Linked DNA regions of Mus musculus. The protein of the gene in region 2 purifies or fractionates together with the protein of the main gene of each other region. This does not show direct contact. Links are inferred from orthologs where the notes say so. Each region holds a gene or a part of one and is shown on either strand. Other genes may lie near its edges. The genes, in order: Chd1l, Rnf146, Parp2, Lig3 and Xrcc1.

What was found.
Region 1: the proteins of Rnf146 (region 2) and Chd1l purify together in Homo sapiens (co-immunoprecipitation; 3 studies listed by BioGRID and IntAct, counting the BioPlex papers as one, with this or other methods). This does not show direct contact. The link is inferred for Mus musculus from reciprocal best matches to the Homo sapiens genes RNF146 and CHD1L.
Region 3: the proteins of Rnf146 (region 2) and Parp2 purify together in Homo sapiens (affinity purification with mass spectrometry; 4 studies listed by BioGRID and IntAct, counting the BioPlex papers as one, with this or other methods). This does not show direct contact. The link is inferred for Mus musculus from reciprocal best matches to the Homo sapiens genes RNF146 and PARP2.
Region 4: the proteins of Rnf146 (region 2) and Lig3 purify together in Homo sapiens (co-immunoprecipitation; 3 studies listed by BioGRID and IntAct, counting the BioPlex papers as one, with this or other methods). This does not show direct contact. The link is inferred for Mus musculus from reciprocal best matches to the Homo sapiens genes RNF146 and LIG3.
Region 5: the proteins of Rnf146 (region 2) and Xrcc1 purify together in Homo sapiens (co-immunoprecipitation; 3 studies listed by BioGRID and IntAct, with this or other methods). This does not show direct contact. The link is inferred for Mus musculus from reciprocal best matches to the Homo sapiens genes RNF146 and XRCC1.

The regions. Positions count from the first base shown.
Region 1 is NC_000069.6:97,607,387-97,611,676, forward strand, and holds the start of Chd1l (chromodomain-helicase-DNA-binding protein 1-like), read right to left. Parts: upstream 2,805-4,290; 5' UTR 2,786-2,804; coding exon 2,677-2,785; exon of another isoform or gene 2,552-2,676; intron 1-2,551. UniProt on the Homo sapiens protein: ATP-dependent chromatin remodeler that mediates chromatin-remodeling following DNA damage.
Region 2 is NC_000076.6:29,359,436-29,363,200, reverse strand, and holds the start of Rnf146 (E3 ubiquitin-protein ligase RNF146), read left to right. Parts: upstream 1-1,497; intron 1,498-1,531; coding exon of another isoform or gene 1,532-1,805; intron 1,806-1,855; 5' UTR 1,856-1,916; intron 1,917-3,765. Other genes in the region: Gm30698 (verprolin-like), read right to left, coding at 692-1,497, 1,532-1,805. UniProt on the Homo sapiens protein: E3 ubiquitin-protein ligase that specifically binds poly-ADP-ribosylated (PARsylated) proteins and mediates their ubiquitination and subsequent degradation. May regulate many important biological processes, such as cell survival and DNA damage response.
Region 3 is NC_000080.6:50,806,641-50,810,721, reverse strand, and holds the start of Parp2 (poly [ADP-ribose] polymerase 2), read right to left. Parts: upstream 2,807-4,081; 5' UTR 2,775-2,806; coding exon 2,735-2,774; intron 717-2,734; exon of another isoform or gene 649-716; coding exon 508-648; intron 223-507; coding exon 152-222; intron 1-151. UniProt on the Homo sapiens protein: Poly-ADP-ribosyltransferase that mediates poly-ADP-ribosylation of proteins and plays a key role in DNA repair.
Region 4 is NC_000077.6:82,779,655-82,783,915, forward strand, and holds the start of Lig3 (DNA ligase 3), read left to right. Parts: upstream 1-1,454; 5' UTR 1,455-1,622; intron 1,623-1,741; exon of another isoform or gene 1,742-1,830; coding exon of another isoform or gene 1,831-1,988; exon of another isoform or gene 1,989-2,123; intron 2,124-3,691; coding exon of another isoform or gene 3,692-3,695; coding exon 3,696-4,245; intron 4,246-4,261. UniProt on the Homo sapiens protein: Isoform 3 functions as a heterodimer with DNA-repair protein XRCC1 in the nucleus and can correct defective DNA strand-break repair and sister chromatid exchange following treatment with ionizing radiation and alkylating agents.
Region 5 is NC_000073.6:24,545,449-24,549,502, reverse strand, and holds the start of Xrcc1 (DNA repair protein XRCC1), read right to left. Parts: upstream 2,805-4,054; 5' UTR 2,668-2,804; intron 2,511-2,667; 5' UTR 2,195-2,510; coding exon 2,144-2,194; intron 1,714-2,143; coding exon 1,621-1,713; intron 1-1,620. Other genes in the region: Pinlyp (phospholipase A2 inhibitor and Ly6/PLAUR domain-containing protein precursor), read left to right, coding at 3,510-3,579. UniProt on the Homo sapiens protein: Scaffold protein involved in DNA single-strand break repair by mediating the assembly of DNA break repair protein complexes. Negatively regulates ADP-ribosyltransferase activity of PARP1 during base-excision repair in order to prevent excessive PARP1 activity.

The DNA.
Region 1 (4,290 bases), on a different chromosome or scaffold from region 2:
GGAACACTTATTACTCTTGCAGGGGACTCAAGACTCCCAGTACCACGTGGAAGCTCACAACTATCTGTAACTCTAGTCCCAGAGAATACAATACCCTCTTCTGACCTCCATAGGAGCCAGGAGCTCATGTAATACATACACATGCATGCAGGCAAAACACTCACACATAAAATAATAAATCTAAAATATTAAATTCATAACTGTAATAAGTATTTGGCTGTGATAATATCTACATTTCATATCTATCCCATGCATTCAAACCTGCACCCTCTTGTCTGCTCACTTTCTTTTATCAAGAATGCCCCTGCACACATAGGCTCCTCCTGGACCATTACATGCAGCTGGATTTGATCTGTATACAGTTCTGGCCCTTCTGCATATTTTAAAGTATCAATCCCAAGGCCACTGGCACGCATATAGGCAGACAAACATCAATCAAGATAAGCTTAATACACTAAGGCCAGTCCACAAAGCCAGATTTAAATCAGGTACAGATAGGGAGAATGATAAAGGGGAGGGGGGCACTCTCCTGGGAGGAAGGGAAAAGACTGGCTCAACAAGAGGGAAAACATGTCTGACCTGTACTGGAAACCTAGCTAACTACTCAGAAGGAAAAAGGAGGGTAAAATAACAGTACGGGTATCTAAAAAAGTCACAAAGAATCATACAGTTACGTATCTAAAACCAAAACAAACCTATAATAATGTAAATCTGTGTATAAATATACATATGTAGCTTTAACACACTCTTCTCACCTGGGCTGACAATGCTCCCTCCCAGAGCCAAAGACCACCCAATAAAAACCCAAATAGAAGACATGAGAAGCCCTCTTTTGAGTTGTTAGGATTGTAAACTAAAATTTCTTTTTCTGTAGGCATAAATTATTTCATGAGCACATACAGGGAAGAAAGGCCAGAAGGTTTTCAATGGATTGCCATCTCTGAATACTGCATTTATTCTAGTAAACAGAAAGGGCAACTGAACTGTGCTGTCGGGGCTGTCCAGGAGATCCCCAAAATAGACAGTCCATTTCTATTGACCTAGGGTGCATGCCCAGAGGTGGAAGGACTTGAGAAACAGGAATCAGAGAACCCTGAGCTGTAATGCTGCCTTCTACTAACACTTGTCCTTATACCCACAAATAAGCGCAGTCCTCTCCCCTCATCAAGGAAACTTTCCTTTGACAGAGATGGAGAGCAATAGAGAGGACCACAACCAATTAGAATGCAGAGTGTAGAACTCAGTCCCAATGGATAGATCCACACCTAAGGTATTGTGGAAGAGGGGACAGAAAGCAAGGTCAAAAACTTTGTTGTCAAATTGTGTCTCCAAGTAACACCAGACGCTTTGTTTACACTGTCACCAACATGACTGCCCACACATGCAGATAGTACCAGTGAGCATGCCAAAATGAACAGAGAGGAGCCATTGAGGCCTCAATCCTACACAAAGAACTACAGGCAACTAAGAAAAGCTAAGAGCAATAAAAGGGGTCTTCTCTAGGGAGGAGCACACCAACTGGCTGTCCAGTGCCAACCAGTCAGCCCTGAAACGTACATACAAGTGACACTAAACACACTGAACTAGTATATCTAGGAGTATTTATGTACATAGGTATAAGCATAGGATAACGATTAAGTGGGGGGAGGGAACATGGATTTGAAGGAGAGAATGGGAGGGTTTATGAGAGTGTAAAGAAGTAAAGAGGAGGTGTAACTATAATCTCAAAAATAAAAATTTTAAAGTTGAATATAAATGGAAAATATTAATATGAACTGCTTGTCTTTCACTTCGCCCTCATCGTCATCTGCCCCTCCTCTAAGCTAACGGAACTTTTTTTTTTTTTTTAAAGAACGAGTCTCTCTATTACATAGCCCTGGCTATCATGGAACTAGCTGTGTAGAGCAGGCTGACCTTGAACTCAGAGATCCACCTGCCACTGCCTTCCAAGCGCTGGGTTAAAGGGTGCGCCACCGCCTGGCAGAAAGGCACATTTTGTTGCCTTTCCAAACCCTCACCTTTTGGTGGTACTTGGCACGTGTAAGTCAAGCGCTTCCTTATGCTTTCAAAAGCACGTATCCGCTAGTAAAGAAACTGGGTCCTAGGGCCGCTATTTATTTTGTTTATCTGCTCCCCATACCCCACAGTACTCTCTCGACAGCAACAAATAACGACCACGAGGTGACAACTGGTGAGTCATTATGACTTTCCGTTACACCAGCACTACATTCCCAGCAGACACATAAGGAAAGGAGTCTTGGGATGTGGAATAGAGAGAACGCCGCAGGATGAGGATGCTCCAGGTCCACTGGGGTCTGCAGGCCGGCGGTCTCTAAATCTGGAACCTACAAACTGAGGTCTACACATCTGGAGCCTACACACCTGGGGTCCACACATGTGGGATCCCCTCACTTGGGACTCGTAATGGCAAGTGGGCTTAATACGAAAGCACAAGAGGCACAGGACAGGACAAACTTTGCTGGGCAGCGCAACTTTGAGAGTTCATTAGGGAGCCGCAACAAGTGAGTGCGCATGCCCAGTCGGCAGGGAAACGCAGACTGGGAGGAGCGAGAGCGGCCGGGAAGCTGCTGGCTCCCCCGCTGTCCCCGCGTAGGCCAGCGCTGCCGCGCGCCTTCCCGGCTCCCGCCCGCCCCCGGGCGTCCCCGGCCCGCTCACCAGTCAAGCCCCACTGCTGTAAGTCCGGTTCCTGCACCCGCGTCCGAAGCGGCTCCGGCCCGTGTTCGGCCGGCAGCGCCTGCAGGAAGCGCGGCAAGCCGCTCGCCATCCCGAGAGGCCCCGCGCCTTCGCTCCCGCGCGTGCGGAGTACAACGCACCGCCGCCAGAGGGCGCAGCTCGCGCGCCTTCCCACGCTTCCTTAGCACGCAGGTGCGGAAGACTCTGGTCTAAGTGTGCGTCTGCGACTAGGACCTAGAGGCTGCCTTTGCTAAAAGCTCTGACTCCTAACTTGGGTTGCTTGGGTAGCTAACAGCAAGCTCAAAACTTGGCAAGCTCCCCACCCCCCCTTAATTTCTTATCTGTCTTCTTTAAACTTTGGGTCCGATTCCTGAGCAGCTTTCCATGTTTTCAGTTACGATGCACATGCCTAAAAACTAGTACTACAAGGTAGATACGTCTTATATTATCTAACCTTTTTCTTCATGTATGACTAAAAACACCAAAATAAGATTAACTTTATCTCTTAAAATGTGTAGTGACAAGATACATTCAAAGAAAAGACCCTGGTGGTACATTCCTGTAATCTCAGCATTGGGGAGGCTGAGGCAGGAGAATTTGTGAGTTCAGTCTAGCCTGGGCTGCAAAGCAGGAAGGTGTCAATAAATAATAAAGATCAAAGCTCAGTTAGCAGAATGCTTGCCTCGAATGTACCAAGCCCTCGGGTGGGGCATGAGGGTGAGCACCTGTAATCCTAGCCCTAGGGAGCTGTCGGCAGGAGGACCGGAGCTCACGGTCAGCCTCAGCTACACAAGTTTGAAACCAGCCTAAGGTGCAGTAAACCTTTTCTTAAAAATAAAGTGCGAGAGAACTTCCCCCCCCCCCATCCCCTCAAGATTCCAAGAGTAGCCATTCAAACAGAACATCTATGTGTGATAAAAACAAAAACAAATAACAAATAACTAATGGCCACGTTGTCCTAAGAAGGACCAAGGCTGGCCCCACTATGCAGAAGTAGTCCTCTAATGACTAAGGGACTTTACCCATCCCGTTATACAGACTTCTCCAGGAACACACAGAACCAGAACTGAGGTACAACCAGATCAAGAGGGGAGATGTCAGATACACCAAGGTCATCGCACCCCTCTGTGATCAATTATCCCGTTATACAGACTTCTCCAGGAACACACAGAACCAGACCTGAGGTACAACCAGATCAAGAGTGGAGGTGTCAGATACACCAAGGTCATCGCACCCCTCTGTGATCAATTACGTTGAGGTTAAAGATTAACTCAAAAAAAAAAAAAAAAAAACAGTTCTCAGTGGGTACTTGAAGTTTCTTGTTTATAATATGAACTACTAGTGGGCTCTTACAAGAACATAGTGTGTTATCTGTCCCTTACCAGTGGAACTGAACAAACTTGCCCCCGTTTTCCAATAGAGCTGTATTGAATACAGTCCTTTTTTCACTAGTCGTTTTTCCATTTGATTGGGGGGGGAGGGGCAAATGGCTGGACCTGGTTTGTTGAGAGTCCCCCCAAATCAAAACTCTGGCAGCACTTCTGACCGTACTCTTGAGTCCCCAAGTCACTAGAAATGCTTACCAAGGGTTGGTTT
Region 2 (3,765 bases):
TTTTAATCCCCCCAACCCCTTCCCTCAATGGTACTAGGGATTGAACCCAGATCCTCAAGTAAGGTGAATCAGCCTCCTACCGCTAGATCCCTTTGAAATTAAGAATATTTTAACATCTGAAGCCTATGAAATAGACCCACATGCTTGCTCACATCGACTCACCTATTCAATGTCTTATCCCTTTCAACGTACATTGATGTACAACCTTTTCTCTTCAGGCTATAAAAGTTCATATAATATTTCCTATAACAACTGAATGAATAACCCGAACCCATGCTCTGGATTTACAGCTATTAATGTTAAGCAGATGAGCTCTTCCTTTGGATCAGTGGCCTTGAAACCCTATAAATAGGTGCACAGTACATTTTTCAGTCCTGAATTCAAACAGTGGATGTAACCTCAAAATGCAACATTGTTGCAAGCACAATGCAAACAGTTACAGAATGCGGAAATACTTTCAAAGGTGAAAAGGTTCTCTGGTCCATTTTGTGCAACTTCAAGTAGAGAAAACTGTTCTGAAAAAGATCATGTGCCGGTTAAAATGAACAAGGACTAGATTTTGATGTGTAACACCATATGCTTGCCATAAAACTAACCCATGAAATTTATTCTAGATTCGCGGGACGATTTCTTCTTCTAGCTTCCTATGCTGTTAGGGTTTAAAAGACACCCCAGCACACCCCCTCTCCCATTACATATCTGGCCATTTGTGAGGTGAATAAATTGGAGCATCTCGGGGACCATCCAGTCCACGCCGTGACTTTTCTTGTGCCTTTTTTGTATAAGGAACAAGCGGTAGTCTCTCCAAGGGCACGGCCAAAGGAAACATAGGACTTGACCCAAGGCTGAGTTTTGGAAAGGCTCTTCTTCCTGGTACTGAAGGTCTAGCTTCCTCCCACAAGCCACCTAGATGGACCTCCACCAGTTCAGAACCAGGAGGCCACAAGATGCGCCACGCAGAGGGTGAGGGAGGACCGGAACAGGGACAAGGAGCAGCCCGGTCGCAGCAAGGGACAGAGAAGAGCAGCAGCCAGCGTGGGGACCGCCAGCCAGGGCCGCCGCGCGCGGGATCACGGTGAGGGGGCGTGGCTTCCGCCGGCGCGGCCCCGCCCCTTGAGCGCCGGGCGGTCACGTGACGGCCGCGCGCGTCCCCGTCCGCTGCGGGCTCCGAAGCGGAGGAGAAAAGACTGCGAGGTGGCTGCGGCGGCGGCCGAGAGGTGGGCTCCGGGCCGGACCGGTGAGGAGCGCGGGGGGCCGTGGGCTGCGGGCCTCGGCGGGGCACTGCGGCTTCGTTGGCTGCGAGGCGGCGCTCGGAGTCCGCGGCGGGCGGCGGCGGGTCGGGGGCCGGTAGGACGGGGACGCCCTTGGCCAGCGCGGCCCGGACGGGCGCGCGGAGGGAGGCCGAGCTGGCGCAGCCCGGACTGTGACGGGCGCGGCCCCGGCCATTACTGCGCAGGCAGGCCAGGCTGCGGGCAGCTCCAGCGGGCTCGACCGGGCCTCAGTCGGCCACGGGCTGCATGCTATCTTCCGCCTGCCCTGCCGCCGCCGCCGCCGCCGCGGCTGTGCCTCTGGGTCTTGCCCAGTGCCCGGAGTCGTCCCCTCCTCCTCGCGCTGGCGGAAGCCGCCGAGCGTTCTTGTTTTGATGGCTCCCCAAACCCGAAACCAGCCTGAGGTGTCGGGATACCAGTTGGGCCTCCCAAGCCGGGTGCATCTTGAGAGCTCCGGCAGTCGCTTTGTTCTGCTTGCTGGATGTGGAGTTTTCTCCTTAACCCTCCACCCCATCTGAGAGCGCACGGGATCCCCATTGTTGTCACTGTCTTATTTTCTGGACTTTTTTTTTTTTTTTTTTTTAAAGAGAAAGGGCTATGTGACATTGTTTTTGAGGATGTGGAAATGGAACCGTCCTCTATAATTAGGTAAGATGTTTCCCCACTGTAAGTTAGCACACGCATTCTGACAACTACATTTTATCTGTGTATGTGTGTGTGTGTGTGTGTGTGTTCTTTTGCAAACTAGATGTGCACCTGGAGCTTGGGCATTGAAAGGCACGTATTGTCATAGAAGTTGAATGCGTAGAACATAACAATAAATGATCTGTATCATTAGACTTTTAAAGAACATGGCATATTAAAGAACAAATTAAGAAAACGACCCACACATACTAGCAGAGCGTGAAAAGCGTCTGGGAGCTGTAGAAACACTTGAAAATAGGTGAAGTAAATCTCATTTTAGAGAAAACTCAAGAGTAACTGCTACAGTAAAGATGGAGTTTTGGATATGTTTGCTTGGGTCTTGGATATCATAGAGTTTATTTATGTCTTAATTGGGCGTGTGTAATGGGGAAAGAATGAAAACCCTGTTATTAAACGTTTGAAAGTTTCTGTTTTGTGCTGTTTAAGAACTGAGTCGAATTGTAGTCATGGGGAAATGTCCCAAATAACTGTTCATTAGATAACAGGAATGCAAACATAAATGATTTTTTTTTTTTTGTAGGAGACATGCCATTTAGTAAAAGTGCCACTTTGAAACTGTTGGAGGGTTTGTTTTGTTTTATTTTTTGGATCCAACATGATTCCTTGACTTTGAAGAAGAAAATAATAGGAAGAATTTTTCATATCCATCTGTTTAAAACATATTTTCTGTCAGCCATATATGAGTTTGAAGGACTTATCACATTTCCCTATCAGTATGAGAGATGGAAGATCCGAGTCTTTTCTACCTCCTTGCTTGGTTGCCTTCTTGATCACAGAGTCTGAACTTGGGTAACTGCTGGGTGGATTAGAAACAGTCTTTTTGAGCATACACACTGTTTACACTAGTCTACAGCTTCCTTTGCTTCTTTGTATACTCTCATTTACCTTTCTAGTTAGTTAATACAAAGCCTGTTGTTAAAGGCCTGCTAATTAAAATGTTTGGAGTTGTCCAATTACAGAGGCTGGCTAGAGCAAAGTAACAAAAGCATAGGGATAACTTGGCAAAGGTCACTCACCAGTTAATAAGAGGACTTTCTTATTTATAGAATGTCTGCCAGCCTGAAACATCTGTTAGATGAGAATACATGTATTACATATAAATATAAATTGACATTTGTATCTCATGAGTTAATGAAATCAATACAACGCCCACTTTGCAGAGAAGGAATTTAAAGCCTTACACTTAAGTATAAGGACGGAGACAAAAGTAAATAGAGTCACAGGATGGGGCTTCTTAAGGGCAGTCATACACAAGGCAAGAAGATCCCTCAAAAGTATGGAACCCCACTTAACTGAACTGGGTTTTGACAGAACACTTATTTCCAAGCTTAACTTAGACTTTTAAAACTGATTTGATGATGAAGTATAAAAATTGACACATTGTAACAGTTACATACTTGTGAATTTGGGAATCTTTCTTAAGAAGTTTTAAGATGTGTTTGTTAAATCCCATCTGACCCCTACTCATTTTTCTTGTGTTTATAATAGAGACATATGTAAGTAAACAGATACACATAATAAGGTTTGTAGTCCCCCTATTGATATGTTTTCTATATAGTGTATTCTGTTTGAGTAACTCTTATTTCATTACACCTTAACTTTAAATAGGATAAGCAGAAAATGTCCAACTGTATATAATTTGACATTTATATTTTTATTTCTATTGTGATATGTTCATCTTTTTTCTTTGATTCGCCTTTTTTTTTCCTTAAAGAAACAATATTTTATTCAAGTTTATTATCTAGGGACGGTGGATCTTTAAAAAGTTTGGCTGGCTTAAAATTAATCCTAA
Region 3 (4,081 bases), on a different chromosome or scaffold from region 2:
TGAAACCTCATCACCCCTACTTCTCAACTCTGGAGAGAAGTCATCACTAGCAATATTTTCGGAAGTATTTTTAAACTGAGCACCACCGACATTCTAGACAGGGATCATCATAAGACAAGAAAACTCTGCCTTCCATTGCAGGTGCTTTTACCTTTCCCAGCTTGGCTGCACACTCTGGGTCCACAGGGGCTTTGCCCTTTAACAGCAAGGTCTTCACAGAGTCTGAGGGAACACAAACACGCACTGCCGTTACTGATGTGGGAATCAAAAGGGCCGTCTTGGCTACAAAGCTGTCATAATTAACTTTGCCCTTCCCGAGCAGTCCAGGTCTTCTGCCTGGGTTCTAATCCATCTCAAATCTATGAAAATATTCAACAAAGTAGACTGGTACTGCAGAATGCCCAGGTGATAGAGAAATTAATTAGATCCTGAAGAGGGAAGGAACAAATGTTATCCCCATTCTTCTGGAAACCCAAGAGTTGTCCCATGTCCTCCCTGGCCCATTACCTCGATTGTCTTTTGTCCTGTCTGCGTCCTTCCCTCCAGCCATAGGCCCTTTTCTCTGGCACGTGCGCATCTTCTTGCCAGGAGGAGAGTCGTCTTCTGTTGCTTTGTTGCCATTATCAACTTTCTTGGCTTCATTTAGCACTTATGGCAAGAACAATATACCAAGAATTACTGCACTATGAAGATGATCTAACTTTACTGAAACAACACTGAAGCAAAATAAAAACACAGGAAAATTAGATGGCTATGAAAAGGAAAAGCAGCCCCTCCTATCCCCGAGTCAGGATGAAGCCTCTCTGAAGTTGAGAAGCAAGAAATTCAGCCCAATTAACATTCTATGAAGGCTGCTGATGCAGATCTTCAGATATTTTCATGTTAAAATGACACTGAATTGGGCTGTCGGCCTAAATGAATATGACAATGGGCCTGGTTCATTTCTTTCCCATTTTATGGGAGTCTTAAACAGACCACGAGCATTGTTGACAATGCTGATAACCTAACTCCCTGCATCCCTTATCATCCAGACTTGGACTCTGGAATTCTGTCAGATCTCCTCAGGAACTGTGATCTCATTTAAATTCTTTAACAACTCCTTGAAGAGCCAAAAATCACAAATCTTACATACATGTCTATTCTAAAGACAGTGAAGGGTGATTCTTCTTTGAGAAGCCCACACTCATGTTCTGTGGCGTCTCTCTTCCCAGTCATTCCGTTTCTTTTAACCCTTGTGCTTAAAACATATATTGGCATCTCCTGTAATAAACTTCCAACTTTGGTTCATTTTGCATACTCTTGAAAGTCATTTCTACTTTAAAGGCAAGAATACTAGGTTTGCCTGAGTGGAGGTCTCTGAAAAACTAAGGTTGCTGTCAGAGACAGTAGAGTTGTCTCTGCCCTTGACTGTTAACAAACATAAAACCCAAAACAAACAAAGAAACAAACCCCCAAAGGTTATTGTTTCCTTTTACGTGTATGGGTGTTCTGTCTGTATATGTATGTGTGCCACGTGCATGTCTGGATGTCTGGTGTACCTGGAGGTCTGGGAGGGTGGTTATGACTTGCCATGTGGGATTTTGGAATCAAACTCAGACCCTCTATAAGGGCAACAAGTGTTTTTTTTTTTTTTTGGTTTTGTTTTCTTTTTTTTTTTTTTTTGGTTTTTCGAGACAGGGTTTCTCTGTATAGCCCTGGCTGTCCTGGAGCTCACTTTGTAGACCAGGCTGGCCTCAAACTCAGAAGTCCGCCTGCCTCTGCCTCCCGAGTGCTGGGATTAAAGGCGTGTGCCACCACGCCTGGCTAACAAGTGGTTTTTAACATTGAGCTAACTCTCCAGCTTCTTGACAACCCTCCTCCCCCCACCCCCCTTTTTAAATGACAGGGTCTCTATATAGCCCTGGCTGTCCTGGACCTCACAGAGATCCTCCTGCCTCTGCCTCCCAAGTGCGAGCATTAAAGGTGTGAGCCAACATGCCCACCAGGCTCTCATAATATCCTTTAAAGAAAGAACTTAAAGTAGCTGGAGAGGTGGGTCAGTGATGAAGGAGCTGCCTGATTCTTCCCGAGGCTCTGGGTTTAAGTTCCATCTCTCATATGGCAGACCACAACTGTCAGTAACTCTAGTACGGGGGGTCCAACACTTCCAGGCACATACATGGTGCATATATATATATATATGCAGATAAAATACATAAAGATTAAATAATTTCTAAAGAAATAATTCAACATGCTCTTAATAACTTGCACACCACTCACTGAGCAATACTGCCTAAATTGCTATCCTGATGGGATATTAATAATAGGATAAAATAAGTTTACATAGATCTTTACAGTTCATTACATGGGTCTCATAGCCTTTGGTCTCTAATACCTTCCTTCAAACTAGACCACTTCATCATGGTCATCAGTAAAGTGTTCAACGGTCTGGACTGACCAACTTGCTGCCAGCGTTGCTATTTGGAGCTTTAGAACCTGTAAATTCATTGAACTTTAGTTGCCCGAAATATAAAACCGAGACCACAGACACAGTATACGGTCTACAGACACCAATTCTAAGATTCGAATTTTACTTTCTGAAATCGGATGTATCTTAAAAGGTTGACTACAGCTAATCACTTTACTGTAAGCGCTTATCCGTGACCCGCCTCTTTGGACTGAAGTGTAATATGAAAAAGCGAGAGGCTCCCTGTGACACTGGGCCGAGCATTCAGCCTGCGGACTGAGTTCCCACCTCGCCTTCCAGAGCCTGATCTCTGCCGCCGCGGCGCCATCGCTCTTGAAGGACGACGTCATCATCCCTTGCCCGGATGCGCGGGCTTCTTGTCTAGCACAGGAGCCTGGGGTAGAGCGCATGCAAATTACGCGCTGTGCTTTGTGGGAAATCACCCTAAACGAAAAATTTATTCCTCTTTCGAGCCTTATAGTGGCGGCCGGTCTACATCCTGAAAGTGGGCGGAGGAAGCTCATCAGCGGGGCCACGTGCTGAGTGCGTGTCACTCTTCGGCCCCTGGGAAGGTCTGAGACTTGGGCCTCCCGCGGCCCTAACCGGGCTCTCCCCGAGCGGGGAGGTGAGTTCCCAGAGAGCAGGGCTCTACGCTTGGGCAGACTGGGCAGGAGAAGCCCCGAGTCGGGGCGGATGCCTCCCTCGCCGGAGCGGATGCCTCCCTCGCCGGAGCTTGGAACAGACTCACGGCCAGCAGTGCGAGTTCAATGGCTGAGGTGAGGCACCTCCCGGGCCTCATAACCCAATTCAGACTACTCTCCCCCGCCCTCTTTTTTGATCGAGATCCTTTTGGAGTATTGACTCGAAAGGGTTTTATATATTTACTCTGTGTCTCAGCATTCAGTCAGTCATTCATTCATTTTGAACAGTTGTGACTGTATTGACCACAACCCTCTACTATAAAAAGACCAAGCTTGAGAGTTGTTCAAATATGGATTAAACCATAAAAATATAGAAGGGAGTTTGACAACATTTAGTGAAACATGATATGAACCCCCTCCCACTGTTGGATTTTTGGGGCTATACTTTAGCTATTTGTCTAGCAAAAATAAACGTAGTTCATACCTTCATGTAACTTGTTATTGGGAGAATATATATGTAGACTTATTACAAAACCAAAAAAATGAACCTGTAACTGTAATAAGTACTTAGGAAAAGCACATAGTATCATAATAGAGAAACAGGCTGGGAATTCCTCATGAAGTAAATGAGCAGAGTTGAGCTACAGCGAAGAACACTGAGAAAGGAGAAGCAATTGAGATAGGAGTGGAATAGGGCTCATACCAAGCCCAGCTTTCCTTACAAAGGCGCGAAGCTGTGACTTGACTAGTGTGTGGATGCCTCAGATCGATTAATGACCAAAACTGAAAAATAAAACTTTGATTACCATTTCCCGTCCCTCATCTCCTCCAGGTCTCCATCCAACTAACTCCATGTCCTCTTGAGCTTTCTTTAGAAAACAGGCAATTAAATTAAAAAATAAATAAATAAATAAATAAAAAGCACAAGTGATACGTACACAAACACATACAAACTCATTAAAAAAAAAAAAAAAAAAAAAAGCTGGGTGAGCCA
Region 4 (4,261 bases), on a different chromosome or scaffold from region 2:
TTCATTCATTTAGAAGTAGATGCAGGCAACATGGCAGCGTCAGATGCCTTTCATCCCAGCACATGGGAGGCACAGGTAGGTGGATTTCTGAGTTTGAGGCCAGCCTGGTCTACAAAGTTTGAGTTCCGGGACAGCCAGGGCTACACAGAGAAACCCGGTCTAAGAAGAGAAAGCCTTTGCAGATACCCACTGCTCCTCACCACAGGCTTTCTGTCTGTGGAGTGCTGAGCTGGAGCCATAACAATGGGAGTTAAGCACGCAGCCCCATCGTTTCTGATGCCCTAGTTCAAAGACAGTAAAACCAAACAGGTGAGTGACAGTAAATATTCTTTAACCGAACACATAAAAAATTGGCCAGCAAATAACTGGAATATATGCACTATTACTATTAATGAGGTATTTTACTCTCTTTGGGGAAGTGTTGGGTACTTGTCAGTGTACAGTGTTCATTTACAGCATCTCTCACTTCAGACTGCTTACATTTCCAGGGCTCAGCAACCGAATATATTGCTTGTGATGAAAGGGTTGGTCAGCACAGGGAAAGTCCATTGGGTTAAGATCAACTCCAGTCAAAATGTTCACGCTTCCTCAACTGGAGCCCTTGAGCCTAAGGCCTTCCGAACTCCAAACCCAGGTTTATCCTGCTGCAAGTTAAGAGAAAACAAAGAGCCTTCACCTCATTTCAAACACCAGGATCTAGCTGGCCTCAGTACAGCAGACACTCAACCTTGAACTCCAGAGAGCCTCCCTCGGCTCATTCTCCAGTTCTGTTAAAGACCTCGTCTATCAGCCCTTCATTTCTATGAACAAATAACTGAGCACCTCACACAGATTCAAGCATACACCTTCCTCTCCATCTCAAGGCCACTTTGATATGGACAACAGCCTTTTAGTGAGTCGGCTTGTCTTAGTCTCTCCCCTGACCAGCTTCAACTATAGTGACCCCTCACAGCGTTCTTTCCCTATGGAAAAAAAGCTAAACTCTTCCTCAGAAATAGAACTTAGTTCCACGATCTGCACTTTATTTACCTAACAAAGCCCAACTGTTTGCCCTTCCCAGACTGAACAAGGCCTGAATACTTTTATTTTTTGAAAAATTAGCCATCTTGAACTCACAGAGCCTATTTGAGGTTTAGAAGCACTAGTTCGCTAAATGACATAAACGGGGCCACAGTCCCTGTTCTTCACATTTTCTAATTACCTTTTTAATTAAAGTAGTGCCTTTTAATTCAGCAAAACTCCTGCGGTGCGGAAGACACAGGTGGAACGACTCGAGCTTCCCATCCCTAGGATCACTGCAATGATTTTTCAACACTACCTTCAATATCTAACAATCTGAGAAACTCTAGGAAGTTCAGGGACGCTGCGCCCCAAGCCGCCACTCCAACCCAACACTCAGTTCAAGATTTCCGGGTAGGAATAGAACAGCGACCCACGTGGCGACCGGAGGGGGCGGGGTCCGAGGGCGCAAGTCGGTTACTGCGCCTGCGCCCTGCCTCCGGCTGGAGTACCCGTATTTAAAGAGACAGGCGGTCTATTCATCGTGCGGGACCCGTGGCCTTGTGGGCGCCTGGTCCGGTGGCTCGTGCGGAGCGTCAGAGCCAGGGCAGCCGAGAAGGCAGGTGAGGGGCGGCGCGGCGCGGAGCGGCGGGCCGCGGTGCGCCGTGTGGGGAGGGCCGGGGCCGAACGCGGCGTGGCTGGAGTGGCCGTGGCTCCTCCCCCGCCCGCCGCTCAGCCTGGGGGCACACCCTCCGTGACGTGGCGCCCCCACGGGAGCCCACGGGAGGCCCGCGGCCCCCGGGACCCTGGGCAGCCACCGGGAAGGGCAGGATGCCAGAGTGGGCATTCTCAGGGGGTCGGGGCCGGGCCGCCGCCGGTCCCTCTCCGCCGCCTTGTTGCGCGGCCGCGGCTCGCCCGCACAGCCTGTGGGCAGAACGGCGTGCTGCTTGCTCTTCGGGCTCCCGGCCTCCTCGCGCCGGTCTCCCCGGGTAGTTATTTGTCGTATCCCGGGATGGGCGATACGACACCCTACCCACCCTACTCTGCGGAAAGTTGAACTCCTACTCGCCCTGAGCTCCTCCTCAGCCCTTGCCGGCCTTCACTCGCCTCTCAGATTCTTAACGGTTAGGGCTTGTGTGACCCCCTGAGTCTGCCAGTTACGGACCTCCCCTCCCCCAAGTCGAACATTGTCAAATACACAAGTTTGGTATACAAACTTCAGAACTCCACGTCCGGCTTGCCCTCGTACTCCTTGTAGTTTTCCTAACCACCCCATGAAGTAGTTCTAATCTTTGGGGGGTTTGTTTTCTTGCTTGTTTTCCTTTTGAGACGGTCTTGACGACGTACCCTGGCTAGACAGAAATTTACTAAGTAAACCAGACTTTCTAGCTTCGAACGCACAGCAATCCTTCTGTCTTTGCCTTCTGATATGATTACAGACGAGAACCACCATAACTAGCTCTTAGTCCTGTTGTAATTGTTGTTGTTTTTTTGTTGTTTTTTAAGATAAAACTGGGGCCGGGTGTGGTAGCACACGCCTTTAATCCCTGCACTCAGAACACTAGCTTGCTCTTCCTAGTGACTTCCAGGACAGCCAGAGCTACATAGAAAAATCTATCTAAAAACAAACAAACAAAAAAACCGAAAAATAAATAATAGAAAATAAACTGAAGTCATGCTTGGTGGTTCATACCTATAATTCTAGGGCTGGAGGTGGGAGGATCGGATCGGCCAACTAAGGTGTCTGGCTAGGGTCCACCTTGTTGGAGAAAACCAAGTCGCCTGATATCTGCCCCCACCTCCCCACCCCGCTGTAGATGGGTAGGCTTGGTCTCCAACCCTTTCTTTAGTAGTACACCTGCTGTGCTCCGCTCTACCTCAGCCTTCTTGCTGCTCTGACACAATATCAATTAAAGTTCTCAGCAGAGTGGGGACTAAAAATAGTTTCCAGTAAATTGAAAATTAAAACTGTAAAGCCACTTAAATAATTACAGATATAAGAAGGGATAGGAATAATCATTTTCCACTTGAATTGGTTCATCACTTGCTTAGATTCTTACAGTCCAGTTATTTCAACCTCCCCTGATTCAGGTCGCCGAATTAAGCAAGGGAATTGCGTATTCTGTTTCTAAGGAACAACTTAGAAACAGCTACTCTTTGAATGAGGTACTACTGTGAGCTGCATTTTACAGATGAAATAGGAGCAGAGAGGGAAAGTAACTGAACAGAGCTCACACAGCAGCTAAATGGCTAAGTAAGGCTCTGAACTTGGGCAGTCCATCTGATTATAGACTCTGATTAGTTTTTTTCTCAAAGGGGCCCTCTTCTGAAATCCTAAAACTGTTATAGTGGCTTCATTGTTTTCTGAAAGTGTCTCATGTGTTATATTTCACAGGGAAACTTCATAAACATAATGTAATTTTTCTTGATTTTTAAGACAAAGCTTCAGTATCTTGGTACTATTTAAAGGTCACCATCCACTATGAGTACCTTTACAATCAGTCTCTACAGTGTTGGTGTTGCACACCCCTTTGGAAACTGGTTTTTCCTGTATCAGAACTCTGGGTGGTAAATATTTAATGCATTGGGAAGTGTTTGGTTAACCACGTGCTCTGTATGAGATTCTAGCCATTGAGAAATTGGAAGCCTGGATTCTTCATGTCTGTCTGTCTGTTTCTACCCTTTTATGCAGCTATATGACTTTGGCTTTCAAGATCCTCTTCCCGAGAAACCTTTGTGCCCTTGGCAGAAAAGAACTGTGCCTGTTCCCAGAACAGAATCGCTGGGCTGCCATAAGTCAGTTCAGCCAGTGGTCGGAAACAAATCTCCTCGGTGGGTGCTGCCTTCTCCAGAGAAGAAAGCCTGTCCTAGCTCTCCAGAGAGGTCATCTAAGACCACGTGCCACCCACCTTACTTTCTGGCCAGGGTCGCATGTGGGACTCTGTACTGGCCCCTGTGCGATGGCAGAGCAGCGGTTCTGTGTGGACTATGCCAAGCGGGGCACAGCTGGATGCAAGAAATGCAAGGAGAAGATTGTAAAGGGCGTGTGCCGCATTGGCAAAGTGGTGCCCAACCCCTTCTCAGAGTCTGGGGGTGATATGAAAGAGTGGTACCACATTAAGTGCATGTTTGAGAAACTGGAACGGGCTCGGGCCACCACAAAGAAAATTGAAGACCTCACAGAGCTGGAAGGCTGGGAAGAGCTGGAAGATAACGAAAAGGAACAGATAAGCCAGCATATTGCAGGTGAGGGGAGAGCCTG
Region 5 (4,054 bases), on a different chromosome or scaffold from region 2:
ACACCCAACTGGCAGTGGGCAGGTGCTTAAAAGCATCTAATTTCCTTCTCCCACTGATTTTTCTTTAAGATACATTTTTTTAATTTATTCATTTATTTTATGTATATTAGTACACTGTAGCTGTCTTCAGACACACGAGAAGAGGACATCGGATTCCATTACAGATGGTTGTGAGCCACCATGTGGTTGCTGGGAATTGAACTCAGGACCTCTGGAAGAGCAGCCAGTGCTCTTAACCGCTGAGCCATCTCTCCAGCCCTGAGATACATTTTTATTGTTTTTAATATGTGTATGAAAGGGGGATGAAGCCCCAGAGACCAGAGGTATGAGAGCCTCTGGGGCTAGGCTTACAGGCTGTTGCTGTATGCCATCAGACACAGGTGCTAAGAACTGAACTCAGTCCTCTGGGAGACCGGTTGGCACTCTTACCCACTGAGCCATCTCTCTAGCCCCTTCCTCAAGTTTCTGTACCTGTCAGAAACAACTCCCTAACTCCCCATGGGAGCTTCTCTATGTAGCTCTGGCTGTCCCGGAACTCACTCTGTAGACCAGGTTGGCCTCAAACTCAGAGATCCACCTGCTTCTGCCTCCCAACTGCTGGGATTAAAGGTGTGCCATGACCACTGCCCAGCTTAAAATAAATTTAAAAGTAGTCAAAGTCAGAAAGATAGGGACATGGCTCAATTAGTAACCTCTTGCCTAGCCTGCACAGTACTGAGTGTGTGTGTGTGTGTGTGTTGTAAGCTAAATGAAGGAAAGGCAAACTGACAGATGCTAGGCATGATGGTATACACTTGGAACTCCTCTGCCCCAGATAGACAGACAAGGATCAGGAGTTCAAGACTAGCTTCAATTTAAGAAAAATTTTAAAAGGAGAATAGGGTGGGGTGGTACATGCTTTTAATCCCAGCACTCTGAAAGCAGAGGCAGGAGGATCTCTGTAAGTTGGAGGCCAGCATGGTCTATAGAGTGAGTTCCAGGACAACCAGGGCTCCGTAGAGAGACTCTATCTCACAAACAAAACAATAAAACCAATCAAACAAAACTTCCCTTCCCTACACGTTTCATTCCTTTACTCTCTGAGGTACTAGGGATGGAACCAAGGAAGGGTCTGACATGCTCCAGGCAAGCCCTGAACAGCCGAGCTATCTGCCTAATCCTATGTTAATAGTCCTCGTGAGGGTAGTTATTTCTCATTTCCAGACAGGTTCTAAGTTGTGCAGGCTGGCCTTGAACTTGTTATCCTATCTCAACTTCCCAAGCAACCAGGATTACAGGCCTGAGCCATCCACCCTTCCATGTCGGTCGTCTTTACAATGAAACTGATTTATGGAGATACTCTTCTTGGCCACCTTCTGGCCCCGGGGGACACAGTTAACAGTAATGGCTGACACTGTCCCAGCTGATGAAACTGAGGCCCAGAAGTAGAGTCAACCTACTCAGGGTTACCCAAGGATTCCTGGAGGCACAGGGATTTCTAAGCCCATTTTCCAGGCAAGTTAGCCGAGCAAGCTCTCTACTACAGAAAGGAAACGACTCAACCTCCAGCCAGCTGGCAGTGGAATGTGAGCGGGGGTCTCACTGCCCCGGGAATGAGGAGGTGGGAGATGGCAGCATCACCTGTAGGACCACAGAGATGGTCTTCTCTCCTGCCTTGGCTGCCCGCCACTTCCGGTAAGTGTCCGCCTTGAGAAGATTTTCGGCACAATGGGTCTGCAGGCAAGGGTGGAAAGGTGGAAGTTCTTTAAATAAAGCTGACTTTTAAAAATAAGATTATTTTTGAATGTTTAAACTCCCAAGAGCTAGCCGACTCTCCACACTTGACTTCACGCCAGTCCCACCACACACACACACACACACACACACACACGCATACACACACCCCTGCCTCGAGTTTTCCTTTCACCGAGTTTTTCTTCACAGTTAGAACTTCCCAGGCCCCTCTTTTTCCTTACTCTCCACAGTGGCCCCAAACTTCCCTAACTGCCCGTCTCTCTCGGAATGCACGTCCAGCCTCTGGAAACCCCACCCGGAGCCCCGCTCAGAATCCCGCCAAGATCCCCCCCCCCCTTTGCGCTTCCAAAGTCCTCAGCATCCCTCAGGAAGCCCCTGTCTCCCCGCTGCTCCCACGTCAGCCCCTCACCGAGTCCTGGCTGCTGCAGGACACGACGTGGCGGAGGCTGATCTCCGGCATGTCCACGCCCGTGGACGCCCGACCGTCCAGGGAATGAAGAAGAAGGGTTGCAGCTCCGGGGGGCCCCCGGAGAAGGTTGGGGGAGCGCGCGCGCCCTGCACGGGACTCAGTGCGCAAGCGCGCAAGGCTCGGGCCTTTCAAACCGCGGCGCGCCGGCGCACACGTCAACACTGCGCATGCTCGGTTGGGCCTCTCCGCGAGCGAGGCGCCGGGTTCCCTTAGCAACAGGCATTCCCCCTCCGGCCCCGCCTCTCTCAGGTTCCACCACTCTCCGGCCTAGCCGCCTGATAACGTGGAGACTCGGCTTCCTGGGAACCTAGCAACAAGAGCGGCCTCAGTGATTGGGTCCTACGTGTAATTTGCCCTGGTCATTGGACCGTGAGGTCACCAACCAAACCAGAGCCTTGCTCAGAAACGCTGAAGCTGAGAGTTTCCTGAAGCCTGAATCCTGTTTGAAATAAGATCTCTGGCACCTGTTGTTGCGGACACGCTCTGTTCCCCTTCTCTCTCCAAATGCAGACAAACAGACGGACGGACGGATGGACACACAGAGACGAACATCGACAGACAGATGGCCGACAAAGATCTCAGACCTCTCTTAGCTCATGACCTAACACCAAAAGAGAGGGAGAAAGATCTTAATACAAATTGTGCACAATATACTTGCGTGCGTCCACAAATACCTTGGTTCCCCAATGCCTTGTAAGCATTTGTCTCCAACTTTGCCCGTCTCTGTCTGCTGACAGGACCTCTTTTGTTCAGTCCCCTCAAGACCCAGGGGCACATCCCTGGGTGGGGTTGGAGCTGGACACAGCTCGAATACAGAAGCATGAAGGTGAGGCAGGCACACGAAAGAGAAAGGAAAGGCCACAAGGCGCCCGGCCCCCGCAGGACGGGTCTAGACATGCTGGGCGCTCCCCGGTTAGGACCCAACCTACGCTGGGCGCCTCCTTGGGAAAGGAGAAGAGGATGGATGCCAGTCTCCAAAGTTGCTCTGCACCCTCAGGGAATCAGATGACCCACTCCTACCTTAAGATTTGTGAACAACAACAATTAAAAAAAGGTGCTTGGATACATAACTGAGCTTCTGGGTCCAGGTGGAAGAAATTTGGGCCCAGGTGCAGAAAAGGGCTGGGTCCAAGTGGTTCAGTTTTCTTGTGGATGCTGGTTCCGTGGCTCTGACCCGGAGGCTGTGGAAGACTCCCATGGGTTCTGAGCTCAGCTATTTCTCACCCCAGGGTGAAGGTGGGACCAGACCCGCCCTTCCCCAGCTTCTTATAAGGGCTGAGGACCTGGGACTACAGGTTCACACACCATGATTCTGTTTAGAAGACACAGGACCTTCCTGCTGGCCTTCACACTGCTCTGTACCCTCCTGGGTCTCGGTAAGTGACAAAGGGACCTGGTCCTCTTCCCCAGTACCTCAGAGGGCATTGGGCAATGTCCTCAAGAGAGGGATAGCCTGAGAAATGAGATTTAGGAGAATAAAGAGGTGAAAACCTGGGGTCTGAGAAGGCTTGATGGGCCCTGCATGGTCTGTCCTCTAGGAAGGGCCTCAGAACATGACATCTGAATTCTAGGAAAGCAGATGAGAGAGCTTGGCCATCAAAGGCAAACTTTAAAATTAGTAATAAGGAGAGAGATGGCCTTTCTCTCTGGACCTAGAGGGATTCAGGACCTCATCTTACTCTTTTACTTAGACACAGTACTCCAAGCCAGCTTCACTGTCCCTGTGACCCAAATGGCTAGGTTCCTCCTCTGTCAGGACCAAGGAACTGATGCCAGCGATACCTCTGGGCCTCAGTCTCCCTTTCAAATGTAGGACCCAGACCTCAGAGTCAGGTACCTCTGCCTGAGCTG